Linked DNA regions of Caenorhabditis elegans. The protein of the gene in region 2 purifies or fractionates together with the protein of the main gene of each other region. This does not show direct contact. Each region holds a gene or a part of one and is shown on either strand. Other genes may lie near its edges. The genes, in order: fbxa-171 and F53C3.1.

Evidence for each region.
Region 1: the proteins of F53C3.1 (region 2) and fbxa-171 fractionate together in Caenorhabditis elegans (co-fractionation; one large-scale study listed by BioGRID). This does not show direct contact.

What each region holds. Positions count from the first base shown.
Region 1 is NC_003283.11:17,560,151-17,569,796, forward strand, and holds fbxa-171 (F-box domain-containing protein), read right to left. Parts: upstream 5,854-9,646; coding exon 5,537-5,853; intron 5,494-5,536; coding exon 5,413-5,493; intron 5,074-5,412; coding exon 4,449-5,073; intron 3,252-4,448; coding exon 3,060-3,251; downstream 1-3,059. Other genes in the region: fbxa-172 (F-box domain-containing protein), read left to right, coding at 33-140, 189-401, 458-541, 587-1,223, 1,271-1,462; C38D9.2 (RING-type domain-containing protein), read left to right, coding at 9,230-9,239, 9,606-9,646.
Region 2 is NC_003280.10:3,908,732-3,917,039, reverse strand, and holds F53C3.1 (Protein kinase domain-containing protein), read right to left. Parts: upstream 5,025-8,308; 5' UTR 4,994-5,024; coding exon 4,955-4,993; intron 4,900-4,954; coding exon 4,560-4,899; intron 4,396-4,559; coding exon 4,196-4,395; intron 4,148-4,195; coding exon 3,845-4,147; intron 3,774-3,844; coding exon 3,669-3,773; 3' UTR 3,655-3,668; downstream 1-3,654. Other genes in the region: bcmo-2 (Beta,beta-carotene 9',10'-oxygenase), read left to right, coding at 6,208-6,417, 6,464-6,733, 7,046-7,606, 7,658-7,829, 8,059-8,283.

The DNA.
Region 1 (9,646 bases), on a different chromosome or scaffold from region 2:
GAAAATGAAGAAAACTTACACTTGAAACTTAGAAATTCTCCTGGGTCTTCTGACCGCTACCAAAATGAAGATGAGTACTTTCCCGTCTACAACCAGCTCAAAGAGCTTATTCAAGAACTGAAAGATAAACAAGACCCAGTGTTGGTTTAACGTGTTGGCTCCCAAATGTTACAGTTAAAAATTTTCAGAAAACCCGTTACAGAACCCGTAAAACCATTTGAAAGCAATAGGAAAGTACTGTGGGGTTATATATTTTTCGAATGCTCTCAGAGTAATTCAATTTTTGAGGCTTATGAGAAAATGTGTGAAACTGTTGGAAAAAATGCAGTCAAGTACTGGGAGTTTGAATATTGGTATCAGAAGATTAAGGCAGGGGATTCCAGTATGGAATCTGACATTGAGTAAGTTTTGAGTTAATTTAACATTACCCACAATCTGCTCATTTTTCATATTTCAGTTTTGACAAAGAGATCCGATCAATGTCCGCAATGCCTATAGACATAGTTGGTGAGATAATGAACAAACTGGAATTAGAAGAAAAGTGTGTTTGATATCTGTGTACAAATCTATTAAACAAATTTTTCAGACTATTGATGCGAAAAGTTTCGAAGAGTCTTCGTGGCTTTATGGATAATCTGAACATTGGTGTCCGAAAAATTAGTCTAAAAATCTACAATACAAAATCAATTTTGCAATTTGATGAAAAGGAAGTGATCTATCAGGACAAAAAGGATGACTGTAATTTGTTGCTCAATGATCAAGAAAAACTTGTGAAAGGTGGAAACTATACAATAATGGCTTTGCATGATTGGTCAGTGGTCATGCAAAACCAGACACTGAAGCTCAAAACACTTAATTTAACGTTGGCATTGGGAAAATCTGAGCATTATCATAACTGCTACACAACTATCACGACTGTTGTCAAAAAGGCAATATGTTTGTTTGTAGAGAAAATCACACTTGAAGGATTCCAATTCAAGGAAGTTTATGACGTTCTAAGGAACTTTAAACCAGGAGTACTTGAAAAGATTGTACTTAACTCACCAACAGGCAGCAAAGGTATAGAATTGCTAATTCATATGAACCAATGGAAACAAGCCCGAGTATTTGAAAGCAGCCGAAACTGCATACTTGCAATGCCAATTGAGAATTTTTTTCGCTTCTCGAGATTTGACGTTTCCCTGAAATCTCTATCAAAGTTAGATGCGGTATTGATCCGAGAGGTTAGCAAAGATCTAATATAACATTTTTATTCAAAGAATTATTATAGAAACTGCTAAAGTCCAGTAATTTTAAACGTGGATGCTTCAGAATGTTCAACTATGATCCAATTGAAATTTTGAACGTATTTGAGCAAAATTATTCAGGAGGAACGTCTGGATCAATCACCTACAATGATGAAGAGTCGGAGTTCAGAATTCATTTTGATACAATGAACTTTGAAATTATTAAGTGTATCTGATTAAAAATTTTACTTTGTTGGGTGTTTTACTTTGTCTAGAAATTGCAGTATCAATGTGAAGCGTCTTAGGCACAGTAATATGAACTTTCAGATCCGAAGGAAAAATGAGGAGAACAGAACTCTCTGCCAATAATTGTTCACACATGATATGTTTCAACCTGATAAACTTTAATATAATCTGTTTTAATTTTTTTTTGTTCCTATGTTGTTGGAATTTTTTTGAAATTACGTTTGATTTTAAAAATAAGAAAGTAAATTGTTCATAAAAAGTAATCATACATTCTCCATTCGTTCGACTTATCATCATTTTTCAGAGCACATGGAAAAAGAGTTTCGGCAATTCTTTAGTCTCTTTGTCGTACAACTTCGTTTTTATCACCCGTGTTAAAAAAGAGAATCAAGCAGAAAAAACGAAAACGGTAAATGATAAGAGTTTTTTTTTTCAATACACACATGTTGTTTTACAATAAACATCGTGGAGAGTTTTTTTTCAATTCAATTTCTCTTCAAAATTTTTCAGTTTTTTATTGTCTCAATTTCAATTTTTGCTCGTGGTTTAAGCAATGCATGTTTTGCAGTATGTCCACAATAACAAGTTAATTCTTTTAGATAGTTGAAGTTGTAAAAAATGGATGAGTCCTCTGGGAAAAATACCACGAAAAACTGTGAAAAAACACCTGAATCACCGTGAGTTGTTCTGCAATTTTCAAGCAAAATTAGTTAGTTTTTTTTAATGTTTCAGAGTCCACACGCTTTGTTCGTCTCAAAGTGAGAAAAATCAATATCTTGGAAGTCACAAAAAACATGATTCATTGAATGATATTTTGGTTTGAGAGAAAAACATTAAAGCTGAACAAAAAAAAATTCAGGGAATGTCGTGTTCACCGGAAAGGATGCCCGTGAATCGTACACCAATAATTCCAGAGTGAGAAGAAGTTTCTTCATTAAAACATAAATAGCCACAATTTCCGTTTCAATTAAAACAATTATTATTTCTGACTGCTTATCTTCTGAAAATTAATAAGTTTAAAACACAAATATTTCAAGACCAATATTCCAAGTGGCTGTAACTATACCAAACAGTCAAATTGCAATCCGCGCGTGTATCCTTTATGAGCATCTTCACGGGAAGATGCTTACAGTGGCATATAGAAACTTCTGCGACAAAGTTGGGAATGGTGTCATTGAATTTGAGTCTTTTGAGTTTTGGTTTAATCAATTCCAAACTGGGAATCATGATTTGAGATATGATATTGAGTAATAAAAAAAACAATGATATTTGGACTATGGTTAAACTTTAGAAATTCAGGAATGCGCTTGAACCTCGTTCTTTGGCAGAAATCACTTCTACAGCCATGGCTTCTGGTGTGCTTTAGTAGAGCTGTAAGTCTTGTGAAGGTTGTAGGGAGTAATTGGGATATTCAGATCCGAAAGCAAATCAAGGAAATGTTTGGATGGAGCTCAGAGCAGCATATTGTCCAAATTCGATCTATTACAAGCTGAACAGTATTGTTTATGTACTGTTGAAAAATATATGTATGATTGCTACAACATAAAAGAGTTAAAAGTTATTTTATAAAAATCCGAATCGATAAAATTATATTATCCGTTTAACTTGAAATGAATTAGGAGTAATTTTCAAAAGGAATTTTTTGTTGTGTCGTGTGTAATTTATTATCGGCCATTGATTGCTTTGATATCCTGGTACGAATACATTTGCAATTTCAATTGGATCGAAGTCGTCGGATTCGAAGTTTGCATATTTGAAAGTGTCGGATTTCATCAAAATCTGAAACTATGTTAATTGTTTATACTTGAAGCGTAAAGTCTGCAGCAAATGCCTAAGCCTAAGCCTAAACTCCTAAGCTCAAGAGTAGTATAAGTCCCACACGACACCCCCATCCCACACCAGACCCCCCTATTGACCTCTCCCAAAATGGGGTGTCCATCTATGGATGTCCATTTATGGATGGCCATCGTTTTTTATTGATCTGTTTTTTTCGTTTATCATGGAACTGTTTTTTATTAGGAAAAAATGTTGTACTGTATGGGAGAAAATCTGAAATTAAAAAATATTTGAAATCGAGTATGTGGAATAAAATGTTTTCATTTACACTTTTAATATGTTTCATTGTGCACCCCTCCTCTCTATTACTCCGCCCCACTGCACAATCGAAAATCTCATAGTCAGTCTAAAGAAATTTAGAACATCATTATCCAAGTTGACACTTTCACGACAACAAGCCCCTACACTGAAAGTCATAACTCCTGGCCCTTCATATGGAGCTTGCAAGAAAACTTAGGTCATCCGAAAGCTGTGTGCACTATTAAAGAAATTTCTTTAGAATGAGTTTTTTGATTGTGCAGTGGGGCGGAGTAATAGAGAGGAGGCGTGCACAATGAAACATATCAAAAATGTAAATGAAAACATTTTATTCCACATACTCGATTTCAAATATTTTTTTAATTTCAGATTTTCTCCCATACAGTACAACATTTTTTTCTAATAAAAAACAGTTCCATAAAAAACGAAAAAAAAAACAGATCAATACAACAGAACAATAAAAAACGATGGCCATCCATAAATGGACATCCATAGATGGACACCCCATTTTGGGAGAGGTCAATAGGGGGGTCTGGTGTGGGATGGGGGTGTCGTGTGGGACTTATACTACTCTCAAGCGTGAGCCTAAGTCAAAAACTTCAGACTTAAGCTTCTTGGTGACCTATACGTCTCTCTGTGAAAATTCGCGTTGATCGGCCAACTGGAACCCTCTCAAAAATTTTAAAAAAAAACGGGAAATTCTTGAGCCTAAATACCGTCAGTGGCGAGCGTTAGATTGGCAAGCGTCAGCTCGCCAAGCCTAAGCCTGAGCCTAAACCTAAGCCTGAGTTTAGAATAAGATTATGCTTAGAACTGACCCTAAGACTAAACCTAAACCTAAGTCTAAGCCTAATCCTAACCCCTGAACCATTCAAAACTTACATCTCGAATTTTAATCGCATCATCTTTTGCGAAAAGATCCACAGTAACGTCAAAATAAGCTAGATGGAAGAACTTTTCAATGTTCATGGAGCAAGTGTCACTGTCAAAAATTAAAGCTTTTGCATTTTTCAGCTGAACTGTATCCATTAATTTTGTGCTATGGCCGTCTGTAGAAGAGGCAAAAAAGTGAACAACTTCGAGCGTTTTAGGCTCGAAGTACGGCAGGATTGCGTCGATTTCTTCGTTTTTCAATTCACAAACTAGTTTTCGGACTCGTAATTTGTTCATCGATCTCAAGACGTTCAATACATCGTTGAAAATGTTTTCCCGAATTTGCTCAGACATTTGTGCTTCAAAAAGTACGGAAAATGTTCGTGCGTCTTTAGTCACTACTGTATTGAAATCTTGAAGCGCTATTTTCCGATAATCTGTTCCTTTGATTTGAATTTTTCTGTTCTCGTAGATAATTGTGCATCCGTTTGGTACTGGGCAGTAGTTGACGGTTCTTTCGTTCAAAAATAGTCTTGCTTCATCTTTTTCGAAACATATTCCCATGGCGTTAAAATGAAATTCTTGTTGGTCAATTTTGTCACGGAGAATGCGCGAAACTTTTCTGGCCACGAATCTTGAAAAATTTTGGATTGAAACCATATTGACTTTTAGATGAAATTTATGCCATTTGAGAAATCGTTAAAAACATTTTTGGTCAAACATTTGTTTTAATTGTTTTTTGAAAACTTCCCAAAATTCATTTTTTCGGAGACATTTCAAGGTGTTTCTATAGTTGTAAAACTTCATAAAAAGACGATGAAAAAAAATACTTTGATGGAAAAACTCATCTGAATAATTCATATCTACTTTATTGCTACAATTTTTGCATAAGGACCTTTTTTGAATTACATGGGGTGTGTATAGAAGTCTATGACCACACGGTAAATATCATACTTTCTTTATAAAATCTCACCTATCGCAAAGTTCCATTTTGGCACAAATTTCATTCCAAACTTTTTCCGGCATATTCTGCAGGGAAGGTTCTTGTGGCTCACTGAAAAACATTAAAATTTTCTGTAAAGAAGCTTAGCACTTACCCATTAAAATATTCGACGAACTTCCTGCACCACTCTTTTTCGGAAATTTTGTGTGGAACGTCTGATGGTGGATTGATCGAGCAACGCAGATCATTGGAATTTCGTACTTCAATCTGCCTATTATCGTCCTGCAAGTCATGATTACCATTATAAAATCTATGAAACCAATATTCAAATTCTTTGTAGGCAATCTTCTCCTTCAAGGTGTTGCAAATTGTTTCATAGGCTTCATTCACAGTCTTTTTCTGGAGCACTTCGTAGAAAATACAAGATCGAATGAAGGTTTTGGAGTAAGGTTTTTGAGCGGTGGAAGTCATTTTGATATGATGCGCGCGGCAAAAAAATTACATCAAAATTTTAGACTTAGCAATATATCTTCACCGAATTCTTCAGTATTGACATTGGAGTTAGAGGGCACTTGCACTGCTGGAGAGTTAGTCAGAGAAAGGAGAACAGTCGAGCATGTTGTTTCGCAATAAAACATTTTTTTTTGTTGGGTTTATATGTCCTTCAGCAATTGCATTCTTGAACTGGCCTAAATAAGATGTCCTTGCAGATCCGGAAACAAACTGAGGGGAATGGAACTCTGTGCAACTACTTGCTCCACCTTCATATATTTCTAGCTGATGAACTGTAAAATAAATTTGTTTGTATTAGTTTTACCAACGTCTCTTTGACACTCGCCCATTCAAATAGTTACAACACCCTGTTCCATCCTCAGGGTTTTTCAGGATTTTCAAATTTTCGGCGATATGGGCCTACCGGCAAGCTTTTTCGAGATTTTTCCAGATATTAATGGTGTACCAATTTCCCAAACATTGAGTGGAAATTCCAAAAAATGGAAGACGATTGTTATAAGAAATGGTAAGAATATGATCTTAGTTACATTTTTGCGCATATTTCATCCCAATGGACGTTCTTGAAAATTTCTCACAATTTTCTGAAACAAACAAAAGATTTCAAACATTTTTGTGATATATTGCTAGCCACATTCGTCTAATTTTCCAAGTCACATTGTTCCAGTTTTGATATTGCTAATTTGGTAGACCTAATTCTGGTTTGATTCCTCAGTCTCTCTAGTCTCTTGGCGTTGTTGTATACGAACTGATATTATCTCCTCTGATCAAAAACCAAGTGTATTTGGCGAAAACACGCAATCCAAATAGGGATATAAATACGAAGAGAAGAAATTACCCCAAAAAGATCAGGCAAATCTACGGCAAATCAGTAAAGACTTTTTGTATTTTTCGTGGTTTTACTTCTCGATTTCAATTCAATTTATTTTTTGAAAGACTATTTTAAAGTGGTTCCGTCTATTTGTTTTTACATATGTAGTTTGGCTTTTGATCTTCTCCTTTCTAAAAATTGTATTCAATATTATGAGTTACTTTCCCTGCATTTTTCATTAAAAAGTATGTATTTGCCGCACATTCTCCATTCGTTCGACTTATCATCATTTTTTCAGAGAACATGAAAAAAGAATTTCTGCAATTCTTCAGTCTCTTTGTCGTACAACTTCGTTTTTATCTCCCGTGTTAAGAAAGAGAATCAAACAGAAAAACGCAAACAATAAAATTGATTTTAAAAAAACCGCTGTGACAACTCGTTTTCTCATAGCGCGTTGAAAAAATGCTTCTCGTTGTAATAGTTTATTCCAATTTAAATTTTTTTGATTTAGCAAGAAACGACTTTCTTAGTTCGTTTTTCAGATTATCCGAAAAACTAAACATTAGTAAAAATGGATGATCAGCTTGAAAAAAATTTAGAAGTAGGAGAATGGAAAAAATGTGAAGAAAAAGCAGAATCTCCGTGAGTTGTTTCGCAATTTTTCAGCAGAGTGAATTAAGTTTTTGTTAATTTCAGAGTTGGGAACCCTTTTCTACTTCATTATGATCACTTAAATCTTTGTGTTTGAATGCAAAAACACTGTTACTAATTAAGAGCGTAGTTTTTTAGGGAGGACCAACTAATTATGTGGGGATGCAAATTACACCAATAATTCCCAGGTGAGCAAAAATTCTTACATTAATACAGAAACAGCTGCAGTTCTACTACAATGGAACAATCAGTTGTTATATATACCGTATATTCTCTATTAGTGTTGTCGATTCAGCCCTTCGAGGTCAATCTCGACAACCTTTTTAACAGTGCTCTGATATAGGTTTCTACGGAATAGCCCACTATTCTTAACCTATATCAGCTCGACCGCACCGTTGAGCATTACTCCAATTATTATCTCTTCATTACATTTTATTTCATTCAAATCCGTTCAGTATTCGCCGAGATATAAATATATCTATAAATATTCGTATTCAAATCACGCGCCAACACCTTATGGTAGCGCGCTCGCGGCGAGACCCACGCGTCTCTAACTTCTTGGCATCGCGCCAAGTCCACCGACCGCCCGCGGGGAGTTCGAATATGTCCGTCAATTGTGACGTAATTGAATACCAATTCCGGTGTAATCTCCACGTATCGTTTTCCCTCACGTGCAGATATACCATCATGTTCGTTAGATTTATATCTTTAATAACAGTTTGAACTATTACCAGTCTAAATGACCCATTATCATCATTTCACCATCATATTCGCCAGACGAGGGTTTTTCACCATCTTAAGAACTTCTAATATCATCCTTATATGTTCTTTGCTGTATTTCCCTCATTTTACTTGTTTTTCCTATTTAGAGTCCTGCTCTACCCACACGGGAGAGGTTGTATAATAAATAGGTTTTTGAGTATTCCTTTGTTCGTCATACACCGCTTATCTTACACAATTCAGATGCTTTATCGGGACACACGGAGAGAGAGAGAGAGAGGTACCGGAGGCGTGATCGATACCGACTACTACCATCCTACACGCCCTCGACATGGTGCATCGAACCGGTGGACAAGGATCGACGTTTAAAAGGTAATCTTTCGTTCAAAAATCGATTAAAAATGCAAAAAATTTCGTCTAAAAATATCAAAAATTACCAAATTTATACCAAAATCTATCTTCAAAATTCCATTTTTCCAAAAAACTCTATCAAAATTCCTTTTTTTACCTAAAAAATCAATTAAAATCCAATTTCTATTCAAAAATCCATACCAAAATTGCATAAAAATCGATAATGAGCGGAAGATTTATTCTGAAACTCTCCTTGATTTCAACTATTCACAAAAAAGAACCCGTCGGACCGCTCTCTCCTCTCTGATGTACCTAGAAATCACTGAATTTCGAACAAATTACTCAATTATCCAAGTATATCCATCGAGTGTATCCTCAACATGATCCGAACGAGGAAATATTCCGTTGACTTCGAAAAAACTCTCAAGCGAATCGAGAAATCTATGCAAATCGATGATTTAGTAGAAAACTTCACTAAATCGAGCTGTATCGCTAAGAAGATCAGGCAAAAATGCCTCAAAATCGATTATCTGCTCAAAATTGTGTAGATTTATTATTTTTCTCATCAATTCTCACGAAAATTTCATGAAAATCATGCAAAATTCCCATTAAAATCCACTGAACCCCGATAAAATTCGTTGTTTACGCGTGACTACGGTAGACTTTTCTGTGCAACCTGACGTGCGGTGTATGCGTACATTTCGCCCCGCCCCCAATTTCGAATGAAAATATTTTCAATTTTTAGGCCAACAGCTGCCATTTATCGTCAGAACTACTTATTCCAGCACGGATTTCGAGTCGAAAATGCCAAAAAGTGAGTTTTACGTGATTATTTCATAAAATTTATGCAGAAAATTCGGAAAAATATCGAAAAAATCGACGAAATCTCGATTTCGGCCTAAAATTTTGGGATTTTTCGTTATAATTTTAGATTTTCCCCATTTCTTGAATTATTTCGATGATTTCTAAGCGAGAATACGCGTGGCCCTGTAATGTAACATCAAAATTACTTGAAATTCTCCGAAAAACTTGGAAAAATCGGAGAAAAACGAATTTCGAAACTTTTCGAAACTTTTCGAAAATCTGCAAGTCACCTCAAAAATCAATTTTATCAAGTTTTCAACAATCTTAAACTCTCTAATCGCCCTTAATATCAATATTAATCAATATTTGATTCCAGAACAACGAGAAAAGGCCGGAAATCATACCATCAACATGGAT
Region 2 (8,308 bases):
GTTCCTGCCTATGTGCCTGCGTCATGTCTGTCTGTCTACTTCAAGCCTGCATTCCTGTGTGCCTTACTTATGTCATAGGCACTAGGTAGGCGTAGGTAAATTGTAGGCAGGCCTAGTTTGGGCTCATTTTAATAACAAAATCATCAACAAAAATACATTTACAAAGTATAAAAGTTTTTATTTTTCATGATAAATGTATTATCTACAGATATAAGAAATAACATCTTCAACTAGCTTTCCCCACGTGGCGGGTCTGGCATCGCTTCTTGAAGATTCTTCTCCTTCTGTAGATGTAAAAGTCATCAGGACACTCGAGAACCTCTTGATAAATATGGAACATTTTGATCAGAATAAAATAATAGTGAAATTTCAAAATTTGAAAAAAAATCCGATTTTCCCGTTTTATACCTGGATCATTGGCTCCGCCTCCTCCGAGTCCTGATCTGTGACGCCGAATTGAGCACGAGGAAGAACACGAGTCAGGAAATTTGATAATTTAAATCGGAACTTTTTTGATAGGTAACAGTAGGTACTAGTAGGTATTGGTAGGTAGGTACTGGTAGGTAATGAAATTAGGCACTAGTAGGCACTGGTAAATACCTGTAGGCACTAAAAGGTACTAGTAGGCACTGGAAGTTATTGGTAAATAGTGCTAGGTATTGTTAGGCACCGGTAGATCCACCCACAATTAACCTATTTCTTTTATTTTTGCTTCAAACTTCACTATATTCTAAATCTAAATATGACCGATTAGATCATTTTAAGACAAATCCCCCGCAAACCTTTAAAAATGAAATTTGTTTTCTCAGAAAAAAAAACTGCGAAAAATAAGGAAATGCGTTTTTATTTGCGTTCACATGCACATGATACAAAGGGATTTTAGAAGATTTGTGGGAGTAGTAGCAATTTTCAAAATAGTGATGACTTCGTTTACGTACGTGAAGGATTATTGCCTGAAAAATAAAAACAAATTTGAGCTGAACTTTCTTAGGTACGTCTGCCTGCCTACGCCTAGATATCTGCCTACGTGCATAACACATACCTACCTGCTGCCTAGGCGCCTGTTTCCTGCCTATCTCATTAATGCATGCTTATGCACCTGTTCCCATGCCTGCCTTATGGCTTTCAATGTAGGCACTAGGCAGGCATTATAGTATCTGATCAAAAATCTCCAATTAATCGTGCCTTAAAAGCACCGGGAAACCGAATTTGTTGTTTATTTCCGACGAAAAAAAGGTCTGACTTGCTTTAATTTTTGGCCATGATCCGGATTCCACGAAAATCGTTGTTGTTTTGAGCTATAAGTATGGACATAAGTGATGTGTGGGTTGAAATTATGATTTTAAGCTATTTTCCCTTCTAAAATTCTTGCCTTCATCTTTGGCTTGAAAAATTTTCAAAATTTTTCTAATTTCTTTGAGTCAGTTTAAACTCAGAATTCTAATCATGAATTTTCCTCATTTTTTTTTTCATTTTTTTTTGGGACGAAAAAATTTGCAAAAAATTTTCCCGTGGTGGAGAGTTGAACTCACACATTCCTCGCTGGAAAAAACAGCTTCCAAAAGTGTGACGAAACAGGGTGTACGTAACCTAATTCGAATTATCAAATATTAACAAACTTACTAAAAGAGATATATTTGTGATATATGTGTCATCTTACAAAACATCATCAGTGCAAAATAAAGCGCCACGTTTTCCTTTTCAAATTGTTTCGGATTATTTCCAAATCCATTTATTAGATTATCTTCCTATTATCTCCAAAAAGTGCTCTGATCTTCAATCTATCACTTTTTGTTTATTTTGTTTTTGCTTTAAGCTTCGATGGCTCATAATCTGAGTTCCAGTCAAGCCGAAAAACTGGGCGGAGTTTAGAGAGGAGTTCCTTATATAAATGCGAGACGTTTTTTTCAAGAGCAAGATTTCCTCTTGGCTTTGAGATTCTCCTCAAAATGTTCCATATTCACCAAGAACCTATGACTTGTCCAATTGACCTTTGTCGCCGTGGATTCAGAAGACGCCAGCTCATCTACAGTACTCCTTCAACTACAGTAGCCTCCTAAGCTACAGTACTCCTTGATTCACCTCACTTGTGTCAACCTCTCCAAAATGGGCTTAATTTACGGATTTCATTTTTTTTTTTGCACTTTCTATGTTGTAAATATTTAGTAAAAATAAATAAACTGATTTTTTTTAAACCTGTTTTCATTTTGGTGTGTGCTCTTTTGTTCAGATTGCAGTAGCATGGCAAAAGGTTGCCATTTTCATAAATTTCGAGAAGGCTACGTAAGAAAGGTTCTATACAGATATAGAAATGACATTTGCAAGCTGACCTATGCAAAAGCGGTCATTAGGGTTTCGAGAGCATTTTTCAGCAGAACACAAAATGTAAAAAGTTTTGGGTGGCTCAAAACAAACGTCATCAGAAAATTGAAATCTCCAGCTGGATTCTCTGTAACTCCAACTGAAAATCGGCATATTCCAAGTGAAACTCTGAAGCTACATGGGGGCTGAACATTTTTTAAACTTGACCCAAATTTGGAACATATTTCTTGAGACCTTTTTATTAGAAGTGGGGTAGTCAACCCCAGAAAAGTAAGCTCCGAAAAAAGCTAACTCGCATACAGTTCTTATTTTTCCAAAAAATGAAACCAATTCCAGTTAGATACGTAGATTATAAAATCCCGGACTATAGGATTTTGTAGATTTTTAAAAATTAGGCAATGCATGGTAAGTCGATAAACCGGCCTACCTCTTTTTGATGAGCTCTAGAATTATTTAGAGTTTGTGACTACGGAGCACTGAGAACTAAAACCGTGAAACAAAAATTGTTTTGGAACTGTTCAACTTTCCGGAAATCAAAAAGGTATTATTCATCTTTGCTGCTGCCGCGTATTTTTGAACCCGCTCAACTTTATAAGTCCAGATTTATGAGAAATGACGCCTGGATTCTTGAGTTTGCTGTTTCACAAATAATCCTCTGATCTTCAAAGAATAAGTTTTGTTTTCAGACGTTTTAATCCCTACTTGCCCGGTTTTTGATGATTTCCTCAAACTTTGATAGTTTTTGGTTTCAAAATTTATTTTTTGAAAATTAAAGTTTTGACCATCAATGATTATCGATTTCCGATTATCAATTTCCAATAATCGATTTTTTATTATTGATTTTTAACACTCGATGTTCAATTAATGATTATTGATTTTCATTTATTGACTTTCAATAATTTTACGTTAATTTTGGAACTCCTCTAAAAAAGGCACCTTATGACGTATAGCTCAGCTCTCACATCAATTCAAAAATATAATTCCTGTTTTCGATTTATTTTCGAATTTTAACAACTACTTCCAAATTTTATGTAGTCACCCTTTCTTCGTTTTCTCGTCACAAAAAGTCACCAAGTTCTTCATTCAAAAGCTCATCTGTCCAAATTTTAATGCAATTAGCGGGCTGTGTCTGATGAGGAGGTGAAGCATGTAATCATGTGAATGAGTAGCTTCTGAATCAGAAGTTAAAAACAACTTTTGGTCTTTTTCAGGGGGTTTTTGAAGAAATTTGTCTGAAAATTTGTGAAAATTGGATTAAAAATACTCGGCAGTTTCAATAATCAATAATCAACAACACAAAAATCAACACTCAAATTTATTTACCAAAGAATCAAAATCTCGAACATTTATTTCTTCATAGATTTAGCAGTTTCAGTACTAGTTCCAGAAATTTCTTTGGGCATCTCCCAGTCGTATGGTGCATTGATGTCACATCCGGCGTTGGAGCAAGCCTGTAATTGGTCGGAATAAATTTAGAGGTGTGGTCAACGTCGCCGATTGGTCAACGTCCAAATAATATTACCTCTCCCAGCGCTTTGTAGATGAACTTATAGTCGATACGATCCTGGTAGGCTCTCGAGTCAATGTAATCCAGAATCTTGTTGAGCTCGGAGGTCTGCGGAATACCCTTGTACAGAGCCGCTCGGTTATCTTTCCGTGTGTTCTCCTTGATCTTCAGCACCTCGTTCTTGACTTTGCAGTGACGCCATGGAAGTCCTCCCTCGAGAATCAGGTCGATGAGAAGGTAGAACCAACTCTCACAATCATCCTTTGGCCCCATCTCGGTGTAACGGTGGCAGGAGAGCGGGGCGAAGCGGATGGTTCCCTGAAAATAGTTTAAGTTCAAAATGCCTGCCTATGTGCCTACACTCGCCTTGAACGCAACCGACTCCCTTGGCGTCTTCATCTCCTTCTTATCGTTCAGGTACTTGCGAGCAATTCCGAAATCCAGAATGTATATGAGATGTCTTTCATCATCCTGCCCACTGGCATAGTTTTGGGGTTTCAGGTCGCGATGGATGAATCCTTGCTTGTGCAGCTCCTCAACAGCTTCCAAACATTGACTTCCGACGCCTGAAAAATTGAAATTTTGTAGTTTAGGCTTAGACTTGGGCTTAGCTTAGCCTTAGACTTAGGCCTAGGCTTAAGCTCAAGCTTAGGCTTAGGCTTAGGCTTATAATTAGGCTTACGCTTAGGCTTAGGCTTCGACCACTTTATCTAACAAAAAAAATGCTTACCCATTCCTGTACCAAACGTGAAAATCTGATTGGGACGTTCCTTCTTCAAACCCGACAAACTTTTGCCAACAAGTTGCATGACAATAAAGAAATATCCTTCTTTATCCTTTTTCCCACGATCCTCAATCTTTGTGAAATGCTTACAAGTCCCAACAAGTTTCAAGATTGCAATTTCCATTTTCAGTTTTGAGTGTTTTCTAGTGTCCATCTTTTTCTCGACTTTCATTGCAAATTGCTTCTTGGTCTTGGCTTGCTCGACGAGGTACACTGCACCAAATCCTCCTTCTCCGAGAAGACGAACGACGGTGTAGGTGGCCTTGCTACTGCTGATTTCGGATCCCTGAAATTCAGCATATAAATTTCACGCAACTTCCAAAGATTTAAAAAAAACTTACAGTTTTGAAATTGATATCATCTTCCTCTTCTTGCGACATCCTGATTGAATTTTTCTATCTTTATTGTGCAATTATAAAGTAATAAAATTTTTTGGAGATTTTTCGTCCCGATAAGAAAACACGACCTTTGAAAAAAACCCACGAGAGTTACGTGATCACGTAAATATTTTTAAATTTTTAAAGTTTGTATTCATTTATTAATTTAATTTATTTATTTCCGATTTTCAAAAAAGTTTTAGACTACAAATAAAAAATGAAACATGCCAGTTTTCTGGAAGTTGCCCTGAAAAACTATATTCAATTTTCTAAAAATTTGAACTTTCCGTGGTACTGTGAAACAGGGAGATGTCGGCTGCTTCAAAAAATAATAAACCAGAAACTTTCAGTTTTTTTCGATTTTCTGATTCTCCAGTTTTCCGGCTTCTTCGTTGCCAGCCAGAATGATTAATTGTCACCTCATAAGAAATTTCGGTGTCACATTTCCCCAAACACCATTTTCTCTATTTTTTCTGTGCCGACCCCGTCACAAACTCCTTTGTGACCTAGAGTATATGCCCAGTTCTCTGATTCTCTGCCTTCTACGAGAGGAGATACACAAGGTAAACAAGCCACTTTTACACTCTATTTCTCTATGTTTTCAGTGCAATTTTTCAATTTTTCTTGGAGTTTTTTAGATAACAGATGAGTGACGCATATGATGTTATAGAAACGTGGAAAAATGGGTGGAGTTTGAGAAAAGGGTATAAATTGGAACGGGTTTTCTACTAGTTTTTTGATTTTACATTTTTTTTCTTCGATAACTGACTTTTGGTTTCTTTTTTTTTCACTATCTGATTGTGTTATCTAACACGTAGACCGGCCATCGGTTTACTTGTTTGACAAACTAACTTTCTAAATTTTCTGACTATTATAAGTTTACATGTTTTACTTTTCTCGGTTCTAAATTTCTATAGCAGCCGACTATTTACGGGTGGGGAGGTCTGTGAACTTTGAGAAAATTTCTGAACCCGTGAGGTGTCGGCTGCATCTTCAAATCCTCGAAATTTTACACTATTTCTTGAATTTTACATGTTTCGAGTATCTATTTTTATTTCTATCAGTACAGGCAATTTCTGAACCGGCGAGATGTCGGCCGCTTCTTCAAACTGCCAAAATTTTAATTTAGAAAAAATATTACAGATTTCCGAGCCCGCGAGGCGTACTTAAAAGCTCGAATAATTTTTATTTCCCAAACCTTACCATTTCCAGACAGCATGGAAAAGGAAGGATTCGCTCGGCTTTTCCACAATTTCGATAATGTGATCGAGCCTAAGTTATGCTCAACGTCTGGCTCGGTTCCAAGTTACCTCAAAGGAACAATGCTTCGAAATGGACCTGGAATGTTTGAGATTGGGGATACTAAGTATCAGCATTGGTTTGATGGTATGGGATTCATTCAGAGATATCATTTTGAGGATGGGAAGGTAAGTGGAAATATAAATTTACATATAAGTGAGTTTCTGGTTTTAGATGTACTACTCGGCTCGCTATCTTGAATCGGAAAACTATAAAAAAAACATGGAGGCGCAGAGAATTGTGACTGGAAGTTTCGGAACCGCATCCTTCCCGGATCCGTGTAAATCGATTTTCTCAAGATTTTTCTCAAGTTTTGTGCAAAGCGAGGGTATTCATGATAACGCCAACGTGGCATTCGCCCCAGTCGGAGATGGTTTGTACGCGTGTACAGAGACCCCGAATATGCATAGAGTTGATCTCGATTCGCTGGATACTTTGGAACCGGTAAGTGAACCTACACGCCTGCCTACTACCTTGGGCCTACATGCCTGCCTACATTCTCTTACCTACATGCCTACATACTGCCCTGTACATACTTACCTGTCTAGTGCATGTTACCTTTTTGCATACCTACTGCCTTGTTTCTACAAGTCTGCTGCTGCTGCCATTTACTTACACCACTCATGTCTTTTACCTTGTAGCTGCACGCCTGCCTACTGTTGTGCAATCCCATGCCTGCCTACTGCCTTGTTCCTATACGCCTACCTTGCACCTTTGACCAGTCGCGGAAACCAGAAACTCCCTTCTTTTTTTCAGGTTGACTTCTCCAAATACGTGGCACTTCACACGTGCACCGCTCATCAACTGTTCGATGAGAACGGCGACGTCTACAACATTGGCTCCAGATTCGGACCGGATGCAGCCCATGTCTTCACTGTCACTAAAAACCCCAAAAACCTACAATCAGACAGCGATCGCTCCTGGGAGCACACCACGAAAATTGGCGAGATCCGATGCTCCGAGACCTTCTACCCAACGTATATGCATAGCTTTGGAATGTCGGAAAATTATTTGATAATGTTCGAGTCACCGATTCGAATTGATATCAAAAAGTTTATTATGAAAAGGTTCATCACCACGACATTTCGGGATTGCATGAAATGGCATGCCGATAAAGATGTGAAAATTTTCATTTTAAATAAGAAGACCGGGGAGCAAGTACCTCTGAAGCTGAAAATGGCTCCATTCTTCACATTCCATCATGCCAACACGTTTGAAAGAGATGGATGTCTGGTAGTGGATTACTGTAGAATTGAGCAAGCCGGGAATTTTGACGCTTTGTTGATTGAGAACATGAAGACGGGAAATTTCCAAAACGTAGGCATTTTTAATTTTTAATAGGGGCATAATTATACTTTTTGTTTTTAGGATGCTCTCTTCCTGCCGTACCTCACCAGGGTCATTATTCCTCTGTCAATTCCAGACGGTGCCCAGCCGGGTGATGATCTGCTGAAGCCGTTGGGCTGGGCTAAGGGATGCTCTGCAATCTTCCAGGATGATGGGAAGATTCGACTGAAGGAGAAGCGAGTTTGTGATATTTGTAAGTTGAAAAGAAACACTTCTGTATACCTGAGTGTCTGCCTACCTCAGACGTAGGTTGTCTTGAGGGCAGGCGTTGAAGATAGGTATAGGTCGCAGAGTAGGCCTAGAGTACCTCGAAACTAGGCGTAGGCATGGTGCCTTAAAATTAGGAGTAGATTGAACACCTAGCTCACCTCGAAGGCAGGTTGCCAGACAATTTTGAACTCACCCGAAACCTCTATTTTCAGCTATGGAATTCCCTCGTTATCACTGGGAAAAGATCAACATGAAGCCGTACAACTACGTGTATGGCTCAAGTGTACTTGGAGCACAAAAGTCTGAAACTCTTCCCGGAATCGTGAAAGCCGATTTAGAGAACGGAGATCACAAAGTGTGGCGTCGCGAAAATGATAAACAAATCTGCGGAGAGCCCATTTTTGTGCCCAATCCCGAAGGGGTTCGGGAAGATGACGGTAAGATTTTTGAAAGCTTTTGAAG